Ovis aries: one gene and its partner. The protein of the gene in region 2 interacts with the protein of the main gene of each other region in a pairwise test. Links are inferred from orthologs where the notes say so. Each region holds a gene or a part of one and is shown on either strand. Other genes may lie near its edges.

Region 1 (4,198 bases), on a different chromosome or scaffold from region 2:
CCCGAAATATTAACAGCAGCCCCCCCCAACACACACTTCAATGTCAATCCCTCAAGGGATTAATATGCTTCAACTTTCCCTGTAGTCCCTGGTTCAGCAGGTCTTCCTAACCTCTAGCTGGAAAAAGGAAAAAAAAAAAAATTAACGTTTTACAGCTGAAGAGTCTGAATTTTAGAATCCAAATGCAAGCTCATAACTCTGGCATGGAACCTGGTGGCGGAATAAGGAAAAAGAACTTTCTGGTAAAAGAAAAGAAATTTGAGTGGAAAAAGGGAACTCCTACTCTAAGATTACATTCCTGCAACACACAAAATTCTACCTGTGACTTTTGAGAACTGTCTTATAGTGCTTTTCTGTTTAAACTCAGACACTAATGACAGCTTTCTTAAAAACTTAACTACAATCACCTCAAAAATACACCTGACCCTTTCTGGACCAAATTTTATAAGGAAGATTACTAAGTTTAAGATGTCTAAAGCTGATCAAATGATGTCTGAAAGTGCCAGAGGTAATCACACCCTACATCTCTTCAGGGCAGTGTCCAAATTATATCTAGAAGTCTGTTCAGGGATTAAAATTCCATCCTAGCAATTAAAAGCCACTTTCAAGGATTACCCTAAATTAGTCACTATTCCTCCCGAAAACTCATTTCACAATCGGTTTAAAGAACTGAAAAAAAAATTAACATTATTTCCAGAAATAGAGATCCAAAGTGTCTCCCCTATTTCACAAGAGCAAGCAGTGATCCAACAGATAAATCCTCCATAGAGCAATCTTTCTTCTACACAGTATCTAAATTTTCTGAAGTCGCCCAAAGGAGTCTGAATATGTTAACTTCTTTACTCCAACTCGCCAATTAGTAAATAGCAGCCCCACACCCCTTCTGACCAATTTTCTGGAGGCCTAACCTGGTTTCTCAGGTTAGCTAAGCAGACAGACCTGTTTTCCTCCAGAAGCTCCTGCCAGTGTCTTTTCTGCCCTGCCAGAGTCTAGGAAATCCTCCTCCAGCTTTTTGCTGACCTGTCACCAGAAGTTCACAAAATGAATTCATCCAGGTCCTTTGACTCCTCCTTTCCCCCCGACATGTGCCAACAGCAGTGCAAGAGAACTGCCATGTCTTGGTCACAAGAAGATGCAGAATACCCAAGCACTTCAGCATGGAGGAGAAGAAGAAAGATGGAGGGATCCAAGAGACACTGAGCCAAGGCTGCTACTGCATGCAGCACGGGTAACCAGGGCCCCAGTCACGCAAAGCCTCCCAGGGAGGCTCCCTGGCTGCGCCCTCCGACCAGCAGGCCACACCTGTCTATGGCAGCAGCCTGTCGGCCGCTCCATTTTAAACAATTCAGATTTCCAGCACAGCCGCAAAACTGGGCACCCACTTCTCCAGCAAGAGCAAGTGCCCTCATCCAAACCCCACTTGGCCCCAATCTTCTCTTCACATCCTTTGTCTGAGATGCTCGGTCCAATTGGATCCCTTCTGTGTTACCGGTGCACCCAGCACAATGCAGCAGTAACAGAAAGGAAGCACGGAGGCCGACTTGCGACCAGCCAGACTTCTCTGAGGACGGGGAGGCCAATGAATGAGACTTCAACAGGCATCCACAAGTGAACCAACGCCTGAAGTCCTCACACACCTGGCTCTCCTCGGCCTCTCAGAAAGCCTCATTTCTAGAGAGTGGGTATTCCATTCATCCCTTGGCTTCGGGAACCAAGAGGACGACAGCCAGATCCAGGTACCGCACTTTTACCTCCAGACCTTTTGCGTGCACGCGTGCGAAGGTGCGGGGCACCTCGGCGCGCCCTCCCTGGCACCCCACCCTCCGAGGCCTCTGGCGCCCGCGGACTCACCACTGTGCGAGCTGAACCACCGGGGTGCGATGTGCAGAGGTAGAGCATCCGCTAGCGAGGCTCGGGAGCCCAGGTACAGCATCCCGTCTCTATGGTGACCGCCACCCGTCTCCTGGTAACCATTGCCGTGGGCATAGGTGGAGTCGGACGTCGACCCTCCGCTGCCGGGCGCCCTCTCGGCGTCGCCGGTCCCTCGGGAGGCGGGGGTGTAGAGGCCAAAGGGCACCCCGCTGGCCGTGCTGGGGTCCATGCCCATGCCCGCCACGGAGCTGACCGAGCGGCTGCGGAGCCCCATGGCCCCGCCGCCCGCCCGGTAGTGCCCGAAGTGGGGCGCCCCTCCCGGCGGGGGCACGGCGCTGTCGTCGGTGGAGACCCCCGGGAAGGGGCCGCGCGAGCGGGCCGCTGTGCTCTGCTTGCCGCCCATGCTCGCCCGGGCCCCGGCGGGGCGGGAGCCTGCAGGCCGAGACCCTCCCCCTGTCCTCAGCGGCGGGGGCAGGGCTGGGCGGGCATACGGGGGAGCAAAAAGGAGACCGGAGGGGAAGGGAAAAAGGAAAAAGAGAGGACCCGAGCAGGACCCAGACTACGGGCTGCAGGCGTCCCGAGCCCGGCGCATGATTCCCCTCAAGGTCCGGAGAGGCGAGGCGCGCGGGCTCGGCGCGCCCCAGGCCGCCCCCGGGCTCCCGAGGGCCGGGCGCCGCGGGGAGGAGGCCGCCCGCCCGGCAGCGGCCGCCGGAGGAGGAGGGCGGGGGCGCCGGCGCGTGCCGCCTCAAGACGCCGCGGCCGGGACGGCGGCCCGGACCCCCGAGGCCCGGGCGGGCTGCGGCGCCGGCGGCCCGCGGAGCTCGCGAAGCCGCGCTCGCGTCGCGCTCTCGGCCCTGCCGCGCGGGCCCCGCCGGCCGCGCCGCTCGCTCCCGGGCTGCGCTCGCCGGCGCTCCTCGCCGCCGCGGAGACAATGGAGGGCGGCAGCGCGCAGGCGCGGCGGCGCCCCCGCCCCCGCCCCCCGCGTTAACCCCTTCGCGGCCCGCGCGGCGCCGGGCGGGGACTCGGGGCGTGGACGCCTCGCCCGCCCCGCCCGGCCCGGCCCTGCCCTGTCCGATGGCCCCGGGGCAGGCGTGGTCCGAGCCGCTGGAGCTCAGGACCAGAGGCGACGCGGCACCTTTAAGCCCCCAAGAGCAGCTGGTCATTCAGGGGGAATCCCCCCGTGGGCGGAGGGGCGGCGGTGGTCCAAAGGGTGGGAAAGAAACCCGGGGAAGAAGAAAAAGGACTCCAGACGCCTACCTAGCCCCGAGGGTCACTGGTCAAGCTCCCTTCCCGGCACGAATTTGCCCCCGCAGCACCCTCTGGTGGACTTGCTGTCCGTTCTATCTGAGGTTCAATGTCCTGGAATCCCCAACACCAGGAAGTTTAGCGTTTTGGGGCTCGATAGTTTTTCCGGGATTAAACAGGGCTGGGGGGTGTGTAGGGGGGGTGTTGCTTGTGATTTCAGATTTTGCTGCCAATAGATCAGAACTTCCTATTTTGGACTTAAGCAAATGGGTAGATCCTTAAGATAAAATGCGACTCTGAAAATCATCAGGTGTACGATTAAAAAAAAATAACAGACGTGGAAATCTAATAATGCAGCTAGAACTAGTGATTTTAGAAACTCCCTGGTTCAAGGAAGGACTCCTGTTTTGTTTACCGTTTATCCAGGTATGCATCGCAGGGCCTGGGACACAGCAGGTACCCAATATTTGCTCACCGAGTCTGCGTTTTGCAATGTCTCCCTCACATATTCACATTCACTCACTCATTCCATTCTTTCGTTCATTCATTTGTTCAACAGCTATTTTTTTAAGTGCTGAGTGCTGCCTAGGACTGTCTGTCACTCAGTCCCTGGTCTAACTGACTTCCTTGTTCTAAATGTCAGATACTTCCAAATCAAGGAGCCAAAACAGGGTGCAAAGAAATATTAAAACTGAAAAAAGAAAGGTTGATCTGTCATAGGTATTGATTGTCTCAGTGTGACCAGCTTGGAAGGAATAGGCGGCCTTTGCAAGCAGCAAAAAGCCCTGCAGAAGGAAGTTGAGATTTCTGTATGAGAAATGATGAAGGAAAAAACAATGTTTTAATACCCAAAACATTATCTGTAAGTTTCCAAATGGGGAATTTGTATACAGCTAAGATCCAAATGAGTGATTTGAAGAAAAACAAGAAAGGTTAAATTTAACCCAGTTTCCTCCCTGAAGAAAGAAGACAGGTAGTTCAGTACTGTGCAGAAAAGAGGATACCCTCCCCAGATCTCTACTGAGGAGATAAATATATAATCCATAAGAATTATAACCATCTAACTAGCTTTTGATTTACC
Region 2 (3,510 bases):
AGCTTCAGTAAAAAAGAATTTTACTTCATTTAGGTTTTTGTGTATTTGTCATCTAATGGATTGCTTCTTGTTTAAGACATATAAAAGGATTTCTCAATCGTTTCGCATATCTCAAAATATTGCCAGCAGCGTTTTGCTGCATGTGAGGGCCTTTCCCTAAGAACTACTCTTTCTTACTCCCGTGCACAGCTGTTGTCACAGGCTCTTATGTATGTACTTACAAGGGTTTAAACTCATATTATTATTTTTTTACTCAAAGAAGTAAGCTGAAAAAAAAAATCAGCGTTAAATCCAAGGATGAGAATTCTAAGTAAAATAAAAATGAAAATAAGAAAGAAAGCAAGAAATATGATAGGCCTGTTCGAGCTGGATGTGGAACATACTGATATAAAACCTCAGGATTCTATTAAGTGACCCCAGTGCTCCAGCTGAGGAGACTGTTGTGCTCTATTTAAAGAGAGGGAAAGCCGACGGGTTTCCCCTGCTTCAGAGCTGTCTGGGCAGACCTGTTTTGTCTGGCGTGAAGAAAGGGAGCTGGTGAGGGTGATGGGGCTGTATCTTGTGATGTCTTATTGAAGGTATTCAGGATTTTCTGCTGGCTCTTCGCCCCCTCTGCTTCCCGCTTCCTCAGTTCTCTTTCAGGTTTGTCTTAACCTTTCTCATTTCAACCACTTCAAGTTCTGTGTTACGAAATCACTTTGATTTAGAGCAAGCTACAAGTGAAATAGAGCGAGCTATAAGTTAAATCTTGAGTGAGAAAGAATTTTAGTTATTGTCAGCTCACTCTACATTTGGACCAGCTGTAGTAATCAAACTGCTTTATTCGAGGCATCTTTCTTTTACATAGTAAGTCTTATTTTAAGTCTTAATTTGACTAAGAGCTACACAGTATCTTTTTCAGAAGGCATTTGTCCCCATTTACCTGGGATTCCTAAAGGTGTACTTTGTGTTGTTGGTGGCGCTCCTTAAAGGTAGTTCTGTGTTTTGCAGAGAGGCGCCCCAGAAGGTAGGCGTGCCAGCTCTGGTGGTGCTGAGGGGACAGCAACATGGTGACAGTCTGGGCATGGGTTTCGTCCGTTTGGTTTTGGATTTGTCAGTAAACTCTAAGCTAGTTGGGTCACAGGGGACGTCCTCATGGTAATAAGACTCAGAAATCAATGATGATAGAATGGTCGTTGCCAAGAGAGAACTGGAATTTTTTGTGCGTTATCTAGATTGTGACAGCTTACCCATGAACCAAGGTCCTGAGAAGATTGAGTTGGTGATCAGAGTTGCATGTGGAGCAAAGGGACTTTGAAAGCCTCGAGGTATATTTCATCCCGGCCGCGGCGGGAAAGATGGGCTCCTTCAGAGTCTCCATACAGTCTTCATCGCCTGTGAAGCCTGGTTGCTTGGTGTACTGTGGGATCAGGGCTGGCACCGACCTACGGTTCAGTTTCTGTTTATTTTTTTATTTTTATTTTTTATTATTATTATTTTATTTTATTTTATCAGTTTCTGTTTAGAATCATGGAGGCCTCTGCTATCACAAAGATTACTTCAGACAGTTGACTGACTTAGAGGATTTAACCTTAGCCCAGCCGGAGGATGTATTCATGCAGTATTGGTGCCAGTGTTTGCCCTATTCTCTGCTCCTGTGGCCATTTTTACTGACTTACAGCACCTAGCAAGTCGTCTTGACCTCTGAATCAACTTGCATATCCTAGGACCCAGGAGCCCGGCACAGTGCCTGGTGGGGAGCACAGTTTTATTTTTTTCAATAACGCTTTATTGACATGTAATTCATGTACTGTAAAATCCACTCTCTTAAAATGTATAGCTCGGTTTTTAGAATATCTAGAGTTGTGCATCACCATTATCTAATCCAAGAACGTTTCCATTGCCCCTCAAGGAAACTTTGCACCTCCTAGCTTTGTGCCGTTCCCCTTCTTCCCTCCCTCCCGGCCCCTGGCGATCGCTTACCTGACGTTTCCGTCTCCATGCACTTGCCCGTTCTGGACGGTTCGGACAAATGGAGTTGTACAGTTTGCGGCCCTTTGTGCCTGGTGTCTTTCACTGAACGTCATGTTTTCAAAGTTCATCCACGACGTAGCTTGCACATACGGTACTCCATTCCTGTATGTGGCTGGATGGCATTCCATTGCTCGGATATCCCACATTTGGTTTATCTGTTCGTTGTCAGCTGATGGGTAAATGAGTTGCTTCCTCTTTTTGGTTCTGTGAATAATGTTGCTGTGAACATATTGTGTATATATATTTGTTTTCATTTCTTTTCTCAATACATTTTGAATGGATGAAGGAAAAGTTTTGGCAGCTCCCAAAGCTGTTACGTAAAGTGACCAAGTCATTCATTTTATAGTGAGTTTTCTTTGGTTCCTGTAAGATTCACTTTCTCTCTGTTCTCGAGCGACCTTTCTGCAGTCCTCCCCCAACTGAATAAATTATTTGTTTTGACTCTTTAATCCAGGATCTAAAATGTCCACTGAGGCACAAAGAGTTGACGACAGTCCAGGCACTAGTGGGGGAAGCTCCGATGGAGACCAGCGTGAAAGCGTCCAACAGGAACCAGAGAGAGAACAAGTTCAGCCCAAGAAAAAGGAAGGGAAGATATCCAGCAAAACAGCTGCTAAGTTGTCCACTAGTGCTAAAAGGTACCTCGGTTATGGTAACTTCCTTGCTTTTAGTATCAATTTATGACCTGAAGTTCTATCTTTCTCTTGCATTTAATCATTTTTCTGGGATATGGACCATGAAGTTCATGGACTTTTTCTTCTTCAAGATTATTTCTTTTTCATGATTTTAATTGTATGCAGTATGAACTTTTTGGTATTTAAAGTCAATTAAACAGCATGGCAAAATTATAAACTACGTATCCGTAGTGTGTGTGTATGTATTGTTAGGTGAATATGAATAGGAAAGTGCATGTAAAGTGTGATAATTTGTTTTATGGTTCCTTAGACCATTACTATTTTAGTTTATTGAGCAGCAGAGAATAAAAGTGGGAGTCTATTGAAATAGTTACTGAATGATTATCTTCACTCACTGTTAGTAAAGTGAGAAATGCAGGAATTAATAACAATAGAATGGGAAAGACCAGAGATCTCTTCAAGAAAATTGGTATCACTTCAAGATACCAAGGGAACATTTCTTGCAAAGATGGGCACAATAAAGGACATAAACAGTATGGACTTAACAGAAGCAGAAGATATTAAGAAGAGGTGGCAAGAATACACAGAAGAGCTGTACAAAAAAGATCTTCAGGACTGAGATAACCACGATGGTGTGATCACTCACCTAGAGCCAGACATCCTGGAGTCCAAAGTCAAGTGGGCCTTAGGAAGCATCACTACGACAAAGCTAGCGGAGGTGATTAAATTCCAGCTGACCTGTTTCAAATCCTAAAAGATGATGCTATAAAAGTGCTGCACTGAATATGCCAGCAAATTTGGAAAACTCAGCAATGGCCATAGGACTGGAAAAGGTCAGTTTTTATTCCAATCCCAAAGGAAG

Evidence for each region.
Region 1: the proteins of UBE2E2 (region 2) and ZNRF1 interact in a two-hybrid assay, tested with the Homo sapiens proteins (2 studies listed by BioGRID and IntAct). The link is inferred for Ovis aries from reciprocal best matches to the Homo sapiens genes UBE2E2 and ZNRF1.

The regions. Positions count from the first base shown.
Region 1 is NC_056067.1:1,851,131-1,855,328, reverse strand, and holds the start of ZNRF1 (E3 ubiquitin-protein ligase ZNRF1), read right to left. Parts: upstream 2,806-4,198; 5' UTR 2,276-2,805; coding exon 1,852-2,275; intron 1-1,851. UniProt on the Homo sapiens protein: E3 ubiquitin-protein ligase that plays a role in different processes including cell differentiation, receptor recycling or regulation of inflammation. Mediates the ubiquitination of AKT1 and GLUL, thereby playing a role in neuron cells differentiation.
Region 2 is NC_056079.1:42,012,424-42,015,933, reverse strand, and holds part of UBE2E2 (ubiquitin-conjugating enzyme E2 E2), read left to right. Parts: intron 1-2,467; 5' UTR 2,468-2,475; coding exon 2,476-2,651; intron 2,652-3,510.